Linked DNA regions of Sus scrofa. The protein of the gene in region 1 purifies or fractionates together with the protein of each later gene. This does not show direct contact. Links are inferred from orthologs where the notes say so. Each region holds a gene or a part of one and is shown on either strand. Other genes may lie near its edges.

Region 1 (5,605 bases):
CTTAGCAAAGAGGATATATGGCCATGAGATGAAAACGTTTGAGAATCATGACTTCTGGGCAGAATGATAGGAATTGGACTGATACCTAGTGTCATCGAAGGTATGAAAAAATAGAAGGAAAAAATGTGTTGGTGGGATGAAATGAGCTCATTTAAAAATGAGATTGGTGGGAACCTCAACAGGATGTGCTCAGTAGCCACCAGGCAGAGGCCTGAAGGGAGGGTGGCAGCTCAAGGCTTGGGATCTGGAGTTCATTTCTGCGGAGGGAGAAATAAAACATTCTAGGGAGAGTCCGGAGAAAACAAAAAGCCCACAAAGACTGAATGATCTAAGAACAGAGAAAATAGGAACCCACTGTTCTCAAAGAGGTGAAAATTCTGGTTCGAGAGGTAGGGAGGCTTGAGGACAGGGAAAATATTCTTTGAGGAAGACAAATGAGAGATGGTGTCAAAGGTGACTTCTGAGCTAGAGAAATCTGCTTAACTAGACATTTCACCAAAGAAGACATACCGATGGCCAGCAGGCACATGAAAAATGCTCAACATCACTAATTATTAGAGACATGCAAATCAAAACTACAATGAGGTACCACCTGACACCAGTTAGAGTGGCCATCATTAATAAGTCTACAAATGACAAATGCTGGAGAGGATGTGGAGAAAAGGGAACCCTCCTGCACTGTTGGTGGGAATGTGACTTAGTACAACCACTATGGAAAACAGGACGGAAATACCTCAGAAAACTAAATATAGAACTACCACATGACCCAGCAATCCCACTCTTGGGCATATATCCAGACAAAACTTTCATTGAAAAAGATACATGCACCTGTATGTTCATTGCAGCACTATTCACAAAAGCAGAGACATGGAAACAACCTACATGCCCATGGACAGATGAACAGATTAGGAAGATGTAGTACATATATACAATGGAATACTACTCAGCCATAAAAAAGGACAAAATAATGCCATTTGCAGCACCATGGATGGAACTAGACTTTCATACTGAGTAAAGTCAGAAAGAGAAAGACACACCATATGATGTCACTTATATGTGGAGCCTAAAATATGGCACAAATGATTTATCTACAAAGCAAAAGACCATGGACATGTAGGACAGACTCCTGTTTGCCAGGGGGCAGGGGGAGGGAGTGGGATGGATTGGGAATCTGGGATTAGTAGATGAAAATTCTTGCATTTGTAGTAGATGGGCAATGAGATCCTGCTATATAGCACATAATCACTTGTAATGGAACATGATGGAAGATAATGTGAGAAGAAGAATATATATATATATGTATGTTTGGGTCACTTTGCTGTACAACAGAAATTGACAGAATGCTAAATCAATCATAATAAAAATTAGAAAAAAAGATGAGGAGCAAGAGGAGAAACCCTCCACTTCACAAAAGATTTCTTCTTGGGGAGGGAGGGGAGTATTTGGAGAATGGGTAAATTTGAGCACAAATCGATCAAATCTTTGTGAGATGGAGGAGTTTATCTCTAAGAGATAACTTACATCAGGTAAACGTTTACGTGTAAAGACAACTGAACATACATACACATAATCCTTGCCTTTAAGTCAATTATTGATGAACTACTACAGTGCTGCTGTTTTTTTCCGAACGAGGACAGAACAAGGAGAATCCGATTTAAATTAGAGATGGAGATGTAGGCCCCTCCCAAGAGGACAACGTCTCATCCTGTTAAGAGACACTGGGGGACAATATTCAGATGGGTTATGAAAGATCGATTCCCCTGCGAGCACTAAGAATAGGATCAAAGTAGACAGAGCACAATCTGCCTCTGCTTTGATTACGCTGAGCCCAGGCTTCGTTTCCAGAAGGGACTGTACTGGATTCGACGGCCTTGCGTTGCGGCGCAGCGGGGCCTGGGGGGAGCTGGTGCGGCGGGGGGGGGGACGAAAGGCCAAAAGGATGGGGCCCAGCGAACTGGGAGTGTCGCGTCCCCTTTAAGGGCGGTGGCGGCGGCGGAGGCGGCGGAGGCGCGCGCTCCGAAGGCTTCCTGAGGCCCCGCCCCTTTCCCGTGAGCCCTCGGGGCGTGGTCCGACCGCGGGCGGCTGCGGGTGAGGAGCGGGGCGGGGGGTGGGGGGAGAGTCATGGCTCGGCGCGGCTGGCTGCGGGCGCCGCTCCGCCGCGGCGTCGGCGGCGCCAGCCCCCGGGCCCGTGGGCTCACGCGGCCGCTCTGGTTGCTCCTCGCAGTGGGCGTCTTCGGCTGGGCCGGGGCTTCGGACGGCGCTGGGGGAGCGGCGAGAGCCATGGACGAGGAGATCGTGTCAGAGAAGCAAGCCGAGGAGAGCCACCGGCAGGACAGCGCCAACCTGCTCATCTTCATCCTGCTGCTCACGCTCACCATTCTCACGATATGGCTCTTCAAGCACCGCCGGGCCCGCTTCCTGCACGAAACCGGCCTGGCTATGATTTACGGCAAGTGCCTCAACCCCGTGTCCCCCGCTGGCGCTCCCCCTTTCTCTGCCCGCCGGCTGCCTCACCTCCGCTCCCGGCCCTGCTCGGCCTGCGTTCGGCTCCCCTTCCAAGTCCTTCCATTTTCCCCGTCGCCTCTCCCCCCCCCCCCCGGTTCGTCTTCCTCGCCCCCTTTTTCTGCTACGCCCCTCCTTTCTCAGCCTCACCCCCGTTTTCACCCCCGCGCCCCCCTTTTCTCTGCCAGTCCACACCTTTTTTCCTCCGACCCCACCCCCTTTTTTCTTCCGCACCCCCCTCCGCCCCCCGCCTCTGCCTGAGGATGGAAGGGAGTGGGTGCGGTGTCTCGGATTGGGCTGGGGACTGGGGGAGGGGAAGCCAGCCTAGCGATCCATTTCTCCGGGGGTGTCAGTTTGCTTAAGGGCCGTTGAGGCTGCAGTAGTCTGTCTGCTGCTCTGAATCTGGCGTTCTTCTGAAGCCAGAGTCCACCTTTCCCCATCACCCAGGTCTTGCTTGCTACGCCCTGTCCTTTGGAGGTTGAGAATGCAAAGTAGACTGTTGCCCAAGTAAAAACCTGAACACGAAAGAAGCTGAGGAAGGCTTAGGGCTTTTGAAATGACGTCCTGATTTATTGTACTATGCTTGCAATATCTGATATGGATACAGATGATTGAACCTGATCATTCAGGCCGTGCCCTGGTGAAGAATAGGTGAAGATCTTCCAGCAGCATGTTGTACTATGGCATGAGCAGGACAGTTCAGCCAAAAAGTAAATAGGAACACCATGCATATGCAGTATTATGGGTGACTCGCTGGTGGCATAGGTTATGGACAGATCATTGAGTAAAGGGCTTCAGTTCTTGTGACCTAGTGTGCTTTCTTTTTGATGTTTCTTATTTATCTTTATTTTTTGGTCATGAGGAGAGAAAGGCAAATCAAGCCATGGACTCCGAGGCATTTTGGCCTGTGCTGGGGCTTCATGGGAGGAAAAGATGAATATTGCTGACTGTCTTAATCTAAGATGACCGCGAGGCCATACATGGCTGGAGAGATGAGGGCAAACAATCCTTTCTGGGCAGTGCATGAGTGAAGATTATCTTCATTTGGAACAGGCTTAAAGGGATGAGATTGCTCAGCTTTGTGTCTCAGACTTGCAGATAGGTGGGAGAAGCCTTGGCACAGAAAGACATTTCTCCATGCGCCCCCCCCACCCCCACCCCTTTCCAGTAAATACAGACTTCTGGAATGTGCAGCTCAAGGGTAGCATAGCAGGGGAAAGTTGTTGTGTGCATCAGGAAAATGCATGAACTCCAGCTTATTTTTCATTTGTGGGGTAATGAAATTCTAAGTATGTATGCTTCCTAAGATTCTTAGTTTTTAGATGTATTGGGTGGTTTTCATATTTCATGTTTTTTTGCATTTTCTATACAGCATTCCTTAAGCTAAATTGGCCAGATAAGCTATACATCTCTGTATAACTGTGTGATTTATTTACTGTCCTCCACAAACATTTGCTACTCAGCCTGCTATGTTATGCACAGAAAATGTGAAGAAATATATGATTCCTGCCTTCAAGGAACTTATCCTTCTTCGGTAGACAGGTTATATAAAGAAAATAAAGGCATCTTAAATGCCATTAAATGCCAAGTGATTATTATGGTGTGAAAATAAGGAACTGATCGCAGAAACCTCTTTCCTGTCCAGAGAGATAGTATGATGAAGTGGTTAAAGATATAAGGCTGTAGACCAGAGGTCTGCACATTTTTTCTGTAAAGGGCCAGAGAGTAATTATTGTTGGCTTTTGGATCACATCAATCTATGTGCTGTGAAAATGTGTTGCGTTTTCTTCTTTGTTTGTTTTTTTTTTTCTTTTTACAAACCTTTAAAAAGATAAAAGCCATTCTTAGTTCTTGCGCCCTACAAAAACAGGCCACCACTGTGATTTTCAACCCCTGCTTTAGAGTCAGGCCTGGGTTCCTGTCCCACTGTGCCAGTAGCTCTGTGTGATCTTAGGTAAGTCCCTTACCCTCTTATACTGTCAGCTATAAATTAAGGACAATGATAGTAGCTTTGTTGTGAGGGAGAAATGTTTTAGCTTAGTACTTGACCCCTAAGTAAGTGCTCATTAAATGAGTGCTGTGATACTATTATTATTGCTATAACTGCATTTTCTCAGGTTAGGCTCAGAATAGTTTGTTTAATTGCTTAATCTTTAAGTTTAGAGGCAGACGTCATATTTTTGAAAAATCAAATAGGGTCTTAGAATTGCCCTGAAGCTATTTGCTCTTTGGTAGTTGATATCATTAACCTTCTCTAAGTCTTGGGCTAGGGGAGAAAATTGGGATAACTGATTTGCATTCCCTGGTGTTTCTAAGTTAATGAAAAGTGATGGCGTACCTTAGTGTCAGTATTTTGTGAAGGAAAAACAAGGCTATCTTTTGTGGAATATAAAGTGAAAGAGTGTTATCTGGGAGTCACATCGGGTTGATTTCCCACGACTTGGCATTCTTGAGCCTGTCCCATTTTCTCAATATGGGTGATGGGGGCTGCGGATGCACAGCCTCCTGACTAACTCCCAAGTCCAGTTTGAGAATAGATGGGGTTGGGTCAAAGTATTGTCAATGCTACGGAAACGGACATTTTCTAATTACCACCTGTCATTTATCTTTTCTTACAGCTCTTGTACCATTATTGCTATTATGTTAATATATTATTTTAAGGACTTTATTTTTCAGCTTGACTTCCAGATGAAAATGTCTAGACCTCCAAAATTCAGCCCACTGATGATTGAGTTACCTAAATCCTGGAAAAATGCTACTCAGAATAAGCTTCTCCTTTATTTTTTTGAGAAGCAAGAGTTAAAAAAAAGAGAGATTAAATTGCCAATGTGGTCAGTTTCTAGATTGTAATAATAGCCTAATTGCTCCAGTTACAAACACAATGTCGAAGCACCCAAGCGTTCTGTTCATTGGGCTAGCTTACTTAAGAAGCTTAAAAGTGAGTCACTGTTAGTAAGTCTGAAAAGTGATCACTCACTGCAGTGTTCTTACGGATAGTGTAAAAGGCTAAAGACAGGGAAGCAGTATTTATTATGCCTTAAACTATAGCATCCACAGTCCCAGCTTTAACTAATGTGACTCATCAATAAATATTTATTAAGTG
Region 2 (5,679 bases), on another chromosome or scaffold:
TTCAAGTGCTTCTTCAAATCTGTGTCTCCAGGCTGGAGTCCTAACAAATCCCAAATACACACCTTTTAATTTCAATCAATTCTCTGTTTCTAAAATGTTGGATAACAGATTATATGTCTATTTTTCTAACTATATTATCTATTTGAAAGCAGGATGTAGTTATCTTCGCATCCCCAATATTTTCACTCACAGCTTAGCATACAGAAGATAAATGCTCCATAAATGTTTACAAGATTCTCAGTAAGAAATCCACGAAAACACTTGAGCTTTCTATTCTGAATTTCTATTAAATTATTAAAATAGATAAATAGGTATTCCTTCAACATTCTAAGAATGACTAAGCTAAGTATAAGCATCTCAGAGTTTCAATAAATCTTCACATAAATGGCAGGTTAATGGCCTATTTAGCTCAGATTTCTTGTTCCTTAAATTTTTAGCTTTTGGCTTCTTCACTGTAAACTTTGAATGGATCGTTCAGAAATTATTTTCTAAAAAGTCAAATGTTATCTGTTACGGGCCACAGAATTTTTATTTTTGCTTTTTAGGGCCACACCCCTAGCATATGGAGGTTCCCAGGCTAGGGGTCTAATCTGAGCTAGAGCTGCCGGCCTACACCACAGCCATGCCAGATCCTTAACCCATTGAGCAAGGCCAGGTATCAAACCTGCAACCTCATGGTTCCTAGTCAGATTTGTTTCTGCTCCGCCAAACAAGAACTCCATGTTGTGTAACAGAAGTTGGAAAGCCTAAAGAAAGATATTAAGAAAACAAAATTGTTACAAAGGACCTCAAATAAATTTGTCTTTTTAAAACCCATAAGTTAAACACAAATACATTCCAGACGATGACAGCATCAAAAGTTTAGAAATACGGCTGCATCTACACATGGAAATTCTCAGGCAAGGGGTCTAATCAGAGTTGCATCTGGGAGGTAGGCCAGAGCCATGGCAACACTGGGTCCCAGCTGCTTCTGCCACCTACCCCCAAGCTACCGGCTACTGCAGGATCCTTAATCCACTCCTTGAGGCCAGTGATAGAAGCCGCATCTTCAGACAGACAACCTAGGAACCTGCTTAGCTACAATGGGAACTCAATGATCTTGATATCTAGCCAATAATCACATCTTGTGCTTGGCACACCATCAATTCCTTTAACTGAGACTCTTTAACAGAGGTATCACAAGTGAAATATTTTATTCTTCCAATAAAACTGAAATAGTGATAATGCCAAAATCAAAGTCAAAATTTACTATCAAACATAAGTAGCGGAGTTCCCGTCCTGGCACAGTGGTTAACTAATCCGACTAGGAACCATGAGATTGCGGGTTTGATCCCTGGCCTTGCTCAGTGGGTTAAGGATCCGGCGTTGCGGTGAGCTGTGGTGTAGGTCGCAGACGTGGCTCAGATCCCGAGTTGCTGTGGCTCTGGCGTAGGCCCGGCAGCTACAGCTCCGATTAGACCCCTAGCCTGGGAACCTCCATATGCCGCGGGAGCAGCCCAAGAAATGGCAAAAAGACAAAAAAAAAAAACCAAAACAAAACATAAGTAGCAAGAGCTACATGATCCAACATCTGTGGGGCAAAGAAGCTTGTGATTCAGTACTATGTTTATCCTGTATTTTTATTTTTAGTGTGTTGGTTAAAAATCATAGGCTCTAAGAGAGACAGACCTGAATCTGAACTCTATTTCCACCATTTACTAGTTAAAGGCAAGTAATCATCTTCAGTTTCTTCCTGAGTTGTTGGGACGGTTAAATGAGATGAATGTAAACCCTTAGAGCACAGCGAGCACAATAAAACAGCATCAGTTCTTTGTTGTTTTGTTCTGCCAAATCTAGGACACGTAGTAAGTTCCGAGGGGCCGGGATCTAACCCCATAACAGCAGTGACAATGCTGTATCCTTAACTCTCTAAGCCATTCAGGGAACTCCAGGAGCAGTTCTTAACAGCAGCTGTTCTTATTAGTTAAACAATTCTTATTTCGAGAAAAAAAACAATGCATTCATTACGTTAATATTTAATATAGGTATATCATATACATACAGTCACGAAATAGTTAAGCCTCCCTGCTTACCGCAATAACTTCTCAGAGCATCTAGAACGCTAGGAAAGGCCTGGCATACTAACCCGATGCCGTTCACACGTGATTTACATAAAATTCAGGGCCCAATTATGTGCAACAGGATGCAGAGCCTCATTGCAGGGGGCAGGCGCTCCTTGGGAGGGAAGTCTTTGGATGGATAACGGGGAATTCCTCCCAGGTCAACCCTGGAGCGGGATCCGCGCTGCAACTGGCCCGCAGGGGCAGCGCAGCGCGTGGTGGGCGGCATCCGTGGCGCGCGGGGGCGGAGCGGCGCCCCTCAGCGGCGGTTGAGCCCCTCCGTGAAGGTGCGCGAGGCGTGCGCCACCCGCCGCCGTCTCCCCCGCCCGCCAGCCGCCGCACGCGCATGCGCAGTTAGCAGTCGCTGCTCCGCGGATGCCTGCGGGATTGGTCTAGGGAGACGCAGGGACCAAGTGGCAGCGATTGGGACATCTGAGCTGCCACTGCCGAAAACAGGCCCGCAAGACAGGTGCGTGGTCATTTGGCTATTTTCCTGCGTCCCTCTGCGCTCGAGCTGGGGTGAGCAGTCGGAGTCCCCAAACCTTCCCTCAAGGCGAGGGTTCCTGCGCCCCACGCCTTTCTTTGGCAACCCGCCGGCGGAACGAGTTGGGCCAGCAAGGGGGTGGGTGTTGAGTTCGGGGACGCCGGTGCAGTCAGTGTGGGGTGGGGGTTGGGCGGGCTCTCCCGGCTTCGGGAGTAGGAAGGCCGGCCCCGGGCGGTGGGATTTGAGGCCGCTTGGGGTCCGTTGGGTTCTCTGGAACTTCTGTGCTCACCTGCTGCGCTGGCGCGGGGAATTCCAGGTGTCCCCCCAAGCCGGAGCTCTTCCTGCGGGTTAAGGGCCCCCAGGGAGCCGTCGGTTATTCCAGCGGTTGCCATTTCGGCCGGTTCCTCGCTCGAGCCCCGGTGCGCGTTCCCGAGGGATGAATGGAGAGGGGGGCTCCCCGGTAGCCTCCCGGCGCTGCTCACTCCGTCGGCTACTTCTCACAGAAAAAGCGAACAGACCCAAAAAAGGCTGCGCCTACGCCCTCCCCACCTCTAAAGGCCAAGGGACCTAACCCTTACAGCGGTGGGGGCCTGTAACTCCGGGCCGCTCTCTTGATGAGCTCCCTGGAGCCATGTGCGCGCCGCTGGGGAGGGAGCGAGAGGCTTGTGTTGAATCCAACGAAGCGCTAATTACTGGAGACTTATTATCGCCGAAAGCCCGTTTACGATCAGATACTTTAGTTGATTTTATTTATAGCACCTGCCCAAGCAATAAGGAGGAGGCGTTTGCTTGGGACTTAAAAGCCCCAAGCCCCTAAGTTCTGAAAGGAGAAAGTGAATTGAATGGTCATGGAAAGAACTCTCAAATTAGAAGAGTTAATTTATGTTGAATTTTTTTGATACATAAAAGCCATCAAAATCCTGGTCTAGCCTTGTGATTTTGCTTGCTTTAAACCTTTTATGTCACTCTGGGTCATTTAATCACTTGAGGTAGCCCTCCTTTGGGTAATCGGCTGATCTCTTTTCAGTTTTGTCTTCACATCTTATTGGTTCTTAAGACCACATTTAGACCTTATTGCGAAATCCTTCGAAGATAGACTGTATTCATTATCTAGTTGATAAAGTTAGTTATTGGGAGGGAATGAGTGTGCTAATGGATCTGTAGAAATGGAGCAGTACTATTGTTTGTTTTCAGAACCTAATAAGTTTTAGTGCTGTTAACGAAAAAGCTAGAAGTATCAACTTTAATGAACCTTTAGATCATCTAGCTTAACCTTTTCCCTTGACAACTTAAAAAAACCACTTGGAACAGTTTTAAACCCTTGCCTTTTAAATAAAAGAACATGAAACTTGGTGCTACAGTGCCATGTTCAGACTACATTCTATCATATTGTAGTTGAGCTATGAAGTTGAAGCTCATTTTGAAGCTTTATTTTGTAGTTCAAACTGTGTGACTACTAAAACTTTTTATTTTTTTGAGATTTAAGAACACATTATTATTTTCGCTTTACACTTTTATGTGATTTCCCCCCCCCAAAAAAAAATTTAGTGATTTTTCAAACACTGCTTTTGAGGCATAGTGTCAGTCAGCCGATAAAACTGAATGGCAGAAAGGCATCTCAGTTATGAGAAATAGCATATAGAGAAGCATGAATGTGTTAATAGATGAGTTTTAAGACTGAAAGAAATTAGTCCTAAAAGGGCAGAATTTATGCTGAGAACTACTGAGAACTCTTGGACACTTTTATAAACAGGTAGTTAAGTAAGACTTTTTAGAAAATTCATGCTGGAGAGAAGGTGGAGGATAGATCTCTTGGCTAGACTGGAAGTGAAGAAGCAAAGTGGGAGTTTACTAATCCTTTTCAGAAATGATGGATTCCTAAATTAGGCTGTGGCATTGGGACAGAAAGAGACATTCAAGAAATACACAAATGCATGTAGTTACCAATGATGTAGGGAGAAAGAGTAGTCTTAAGATAATGGCAGAGTAACTTGGCTGATTTGGTTGACTGGAGGGCAGTTCATGGGAGAAGGGAGTTAAGGAAATAGAGAACTGGTTTGGAAGGAAAGACCAGGTTGAAATTAATGGAGGTTTGGGGACACCCTTCAAGATGGATAGTGATTTGAAACTAAAGAGTAGTTTCTGTGCTGTGGATAAGATTTGGGAGTCTTTAGCTAGCTTTTATAGTTAGAAGTCTGGAGTACAAATAAGGTAGGAAGAAAGCCTGGGGACAGAACCTTGAGGAATAGCAACATTTACAGAAGATTGGAGAAAGAACCCCTGAGGGTGTCAGAGCAAATGAAGAGGACCAAGAGTGGGGAAAGCATCATAGACACCCAGGGAGGAAAGGGCTTCAGAAAGGAGGCAGGGCTTCAGCAAGGTCAAGAGTGAGCACTGAGCTGTAGGGCTGAAAAATGCTGTTGCATTTACCAGCTAAGCCTTGGTTTGTAGGAACTGTTTCTAAGAAGCTAGAATCAAGTACAGGAATAATTATTAATTTTTCATTGATACCATAACAAATAACCACAAGTTTAACAGCTTAATGCAGCATGAATTTATTTTCTCACAGTCCTATAGGTCAGAAGACTGACAGGTCTCACCAAACTAACATCAAGGTGTTGACAGACATCCCTTACTAGAAGCACTGGGAAGATTCTGCTTCCTTGCTTATTCAGGTTGGTAGCAGAATTCAGTTCCTTTTGGTTGTAGGACTGAGGTTCTTGTTTCCTTGTTGACTGTCAGCTGAGGGTTTGTTTTCAGCTTCTGGAGAGCACCCACATTCCTTGGCTCATGGCCCCCTCTCCATCTTCAAGGTCCTCATGGTGGGTGAAGTCCTTCTCACTCTTCATATCTCTTCTGCCCTCTCTCACTGACTTCATTTTCCACTTGTAAGGGAAAAGGAATTATGTTAGGTCTATCTGCATAATCCGGGACACTCTACCAATTTTAGGGTCAGTTAATTAACAATTCCAATTTTGGGATCAGCTGATTAACAACCTTAATTCTATGTAAAAAAAGCCCCCTTTGCTATGTGAAGGAACCCAAATCTTAGGGTGTGGATATCTTTAGGGGGTCATCGTTCTGTCTATGATGGGA
Region 3 (4,552 bases), on another chromosome or scaffold:
TATTATAGTTTTCAGTGTACAGATATAACAAAACATCTTTTGTTTTTTCCTAAGTATCTAAATATTCTTTTGTTGCTACTGTAAATAGAATATTTTTTAAATTCATTTTTGATCATTTACTGCTAGCATATAAAAATAAAATTGATTTTTTATGTTGATCTTGTAACCTGTGATAGTACTAAACCTGGTTTTTAATTCTCTAGTTTTTTCGTATATTTCTTGGAATTTTTCTGCATGTAAAGATCACATTGACTGTGAATAACGACAGATTTACCTCTTTGGAAATCTATGTGACTTTATTCTCTTTTTCTTGGCTTAATGCACTGGCTAGGATCTTCAGTACAATGTTAAATAGAAGTGATAAGAACTGATGTCCTTGCCTTCCTATCTTATATCTTAGGAGGAAGGCATTTACTATTTCTATTTGGTGAGAGGTTAGGTGTAGGTTTTTCTTAGATGCTCTTTATCAGTTCTATTTCTAGTTTCCTGAAAGTTTTTAAAATTACAAATAAAGATTGATGTTTGTCATATACCTTTTCTCAATCTGTTGAAATGAATGTATGGCTTTTCTCCTTTATTTTTTTAATATGGCATAATATATTAATAGATTTTCAGAAGTCAATCCAAACTTACATTGCTGTGATAAACCCCATTTTGTCATTATCCTGTTTATAAATTGCTGTATTTAATTTGCCAATATTTTAATTATTAAGATTTTGTTACTACATTCATTAGCAGTATTTGTTTGTAGTTTTCTTTTTACATTGTCTGGCTTTTATCAGGGTGAAAGTGAATTGGAAAGTTTCCCCTCCTCATCTATATTCTGAAACTCTTTATATAAGATTGATATTTTCTCTGTCTTAAACATTGACAGAATCGATCAATGAAGCCATCTTTCAGCCCAGATCTTCTTTGTGGGGAGATTTAATTATTGATCAGTCTCATTGCTAGATATAGGTCTAGTTAGAGTGTATTTCTTTGATCATTTCTGCTCATTTGTCTCTAAGAATTTGTTTCAACTAAGTTGTCAAGTTTCTTGGCTTAAAGTTATTTCTAACATGCCTTTATACTCCCTTTAATTTCTTTAGGGTCTATAGTAATATCTCCACTTTTATTCTTGACTTTTGCAATTTGTGTTTTCTCTAACTTTGTCTAGCAAAAGGTTTATCAATTTTGCTGATTTTTTCAAAGAACCATTTATTGTTTTCCGTGATTTTCTCTGTTGATGTTTGCTCTCTGTTTCATTTATTTCTTCTCTGGCCATTATTTTTTTTTCCTTAATACTTATTTTTGTGATTGATTTGTTCTTCTTTAACTGACTTCTTAAGATAGAAACTTTAGTTGTTGATTTTAAACATTTACTGCTTTATAAATAAGCCTTTTTCATTTTGGCCACATATGTAGCATGCACTAGTTCCCAGGCCAGGGATTGAACGTACACCACAGCAGCAACCCAGGCTGTTGCAGTAACACAACTGGATACTTAACTCACTGTGCCACAAGGGAACTCCCTAAATAAGCATTTTAAGCAAAAAAAAATTTTCTTCTAAGTATGCTTTAGCTAAAGTCTATATATTTTGATATGTTTCAATTTTCATTTAGTTCAAGTGATTCTCTGATCTCCCTTATGATTTCTTCTTGGATCCATAAGTAGTGTATAAATGTGAGTTTACTTATTTGGATATTTCCTATTTTTTTAAATATTGATTTCTAATTTAATTATGTTGCCATCAGCGAACATACCTTGTATGATTTTATTCCTTTTACATTTATTGAGTTTTATGGCCTAGCCTTATAGCCTGGCAAATTTCATGTGCAATTGAAAAGTATGTATACTTAGTTATTTCAGGGTAAACTATTTTATATATGTCAGGTAGGTCAAGTTGATAGTAATGTTCAGATTGTCTGTATCCTTAATGATTTTCTATATATTTATATTATGCATTATTCAGAGAAGAATATTTAAATCTCTAGGCATAATTGTTGAACCGTTGATTCTTTTTTCAATCTTGTCAATTTTACTTTATGAATTTTTAGTCTCTGTTTTAGGTACATACACAAATTTATTTTAGATTTTTTTTCATGCATTGACCTACTGTATATCATAAAATGTACCTCTTTTCTTTAGTGATATTCCTTATATAAAAATCTATTTTTGTCTGATAATATAGCCACTCTAGATCTCTTATCATTAATATTTAATATATGGTATAACTCTTCAACCTATTTTTGTCTTTAACTTTGTAATTCCTCTTTTGTAGACTGTGTATACATCTTGCTTTTCTAGGTGGTTGGGCAATCTCTGCTTTTGATTAGAATGTTTATCCCTTTAATATTTAATGTAATTATTGCTATAATTATATTTAGGTTTGCCATTTTGTTATTTGTTTTCTATGTCTCATTTCTTGTTTATCCCTTTATTTTTCCTTTTTTGTCTTTTTTTATGTTTAGCAAATTCTGATTATTACATTATACATTTTAATTTTGCTATTTTTAGCTATATTTCATTGATTTTTTTTCTGTTTTTGTATTTTTGCACTAGTGATAACAGTATGACTCTTTTAACTTATTATGATTTACTTAAGTTAGTACTAATTTTTAAATCCAGCAAAAGAGCAATTTTGTATTAATATAGCTCAGTTTCCTCCCTACTGTCAAATATCTGGGAAGAGTTTGAGATTTTACCCTATTTGCAAGTTAGCAAGTTAGCCTGCCACAGTTTAATGGATTTTGACAGAGGACATGAGGTTCCTGGTCAGAGATGAAGAACAGTTTATTACAGCAATAGCAGTAGCTAGAGCATCATCATTTGTACTGATTCCTTAAGGCTTAATTCCCATAATGTGACCCCCCCCCAAAAGCAAAAATATAATACTGTGCACTAGAGCACCATTCACACCATTCATGAATTATGTCACTAGGATACTAGTACAGTGGATATTCTGAAAAGATTTTTGTTTTGAAGTTTTGTGGTGAAATAAATTTGAGAAACTATACAGCCGTATCTCCCTTGGGTATATACACAATGTACATTAGTATATTAAATGTACACTAGCTATCATCCTTCCCAACATCTTTGAAACCATTTAGGGTACTATGATTTAAGTGATTAAAGGCAAATATATAACATGTTTATCTGTAAATTTTGTTTCCATTTATAGGGGATGTAATTAACCTTGGTGACAGACAACTCACTGTTATGCACATGCCTGGTCATTCCAGGGGCAGTATTTGCTTACATGACAAAGACCGAAAGATTCTCTTCAGTGGAGATGTCGTCTACGATGGATCACTGATTGATTGGCTCCCCTACAGCCGGATAAGTGACTATATTGGAACCTGTGAACGTCTGATAGAATTAGTGGACCGAGGTCTGGTAGAGAAGGTGCTTCCTGGGCATTTCAATACCTTTGGTGCTGAAAGGCTTTTTCGATTGGCTTCTAACTATATTTCAAAAGCTGGGATATGTCACAAAGTTTCTACCTTTGCCATGCGATCTCTTGCAAGTTTAGCCCTACGTGTAACAAATTCTAGGACCTCAGCCTAGTATCTGTACTGGTAATCCCTTTTGATTAATTCTGTAAATTAATCCAGTTCATTTTGTGTTGTTTAAAGTAGTGAGCATTTCAAGAAGTGCTTTTATACTACTATTGTATATTAGAGGAAAAAAGGTTGAGAATGAATAAGCCAAAAAAGGAACTTCTTAGTTTAATTTTTTTTTTCTTTTTTCCAAATAAGAAACCACTTAAATAAGCTTATAATTTGCCAAAGCTTATAATTTGACATCATGTTGTAATGTTTGCTCTAGAAATGACATAGAAGTATATGGGGAAACGAGAAGCATTTTATAGTACAAGAAAGAACCATCCAGAAGTTCTCTTGTGGCGCAACAAGTTAAGGATCCAGCTTTTTCACTCAGCAACTTGGGTTGCTGCTATGGTATGGGTTTGATCCCTGGCCCAGGAACGTCCACATGCCACAGACATGGCCAAAAATTTAAAAAAGAGAGAAAGAACTATCCTTGCCTCTAATTTATTTTATTTCCTAGATGTCCTAGGAAAAAGGGCATAAAGGGTTTTATGTTTATATTACAAACTTAATATTTTTAGTATATTATTTAAAGATAAAGGCTTTGGGTTTAAAATACATTAGAACTCAAAACAAATATTTAAACTAATATTTGGAATGACAGGTAAAACAATCCATTGTTATGGTACGGAATTTTCATGTTTAATTTTATTTATTTTTAATGTAATTATAGTGTACATTATGTGTTGTGTAATTTACTTACAAAAAGTACAATGAGTTTTGTTTTATTGCAAAGCTTTAAATATAAATTGCAGAGTGCTTCAGTAAAAAAGCTACTATATATTGTTGTTTGTTGTTATGTAAGTGTAATATTTTTAATGATAAAAGTGAAATTCAAATGTCTGTCCTCTACGAATTGTCAAATTTCTCAAAAGGACACTGTCAGGCAAATTTGAAAATATACACATTGAGAATAATTTTTAAATTATATCCTATTTTAATAATAATAGCTATTATAAACAAA

Evidence for each region.
Region 2: the proteins of SLC9A6 (region 1) and CLGN purify together in Homo sapiens (co-immunoprecipitation; 3 studies listed by BioGRID and IntAct, with this or other methods). This does not show direct contact. The link is inferred for Sus scrofa from reciprocal best matches to the Homo sapiens genes SLC9A6 and CLGN.
Region 3: the proteins of SLC9A6 (region 1) and MBLAC2 purify together in Homo sapiens (co-immunoprecipitation; 3 studies listed by BioGRID and IntAct, counting the BioPlex papers as one, with this or other methods). This does not show direct contact. The link is inferred for Sus scrofa from reciprocal best matches to the Homo sapiens genes SLC9A6 and MBLAC2.

Annotation. Positions count from the first base shown.
Region 1 is NC_010461.5:111,174,443-111,180,047, forward strand, and holds the start of SLC9A6 (sodium/hydrogen exchanger 6), read left to right. Parts: upstream 1-2,090; 5' UTR 2,091-2,121; coding exon 2,122-2,449; intron 2,450-5,605. UniProt on the Homo sapiens protein: Endosomal Na(+), K(+)/H(+) antiporter. Mediates the electroneutral exchange of endosomal luminal H(+) for a cytosolic Na(+) or K(+).
Region 2 is NC_010450.4:86,618,690-86,624,368, forward strand, and holds the start of CLGN (calmegin), read left to right. Parts: upstream 1-2,430; 5' UTR 2,431-2,568; exon of another isoform or gene 2,569-2,618; intron 2,619-2,872; exon of another isoform or gene 2,873-5,146; intron 5,147-5,152; 5' UTR 5,153-5,258; intron 5,259-5,679. UniProt on the Homo sapiens protein: Functions during spermatogenesis as a chaperone for a range of client proteins that are important for sperm adhesion onto the egg zona pellucida and for subsequent penetration of the zona pellucida.
Region 3 is NC_010444.4:97,634,561-97,639,112, reverse strand, and holds part of MBLAC2 (metallo-beta-lactamase domain-containing protein 2), read left to right. Parts: intron 1-3,161; coding exon 3,162-3,547; 3' UTR 3,548-4,552. UniProt on the Homo sapiens protein: Acyl-CoA thioesterases are a group of enzymes that catalyze the hydrolysis of acyl-CoAs to the free fatty acid and coenzyme A (CoASH), providing the potential to regulate intracellular levels of acyl-CoAs, free fatty acids and CoASH.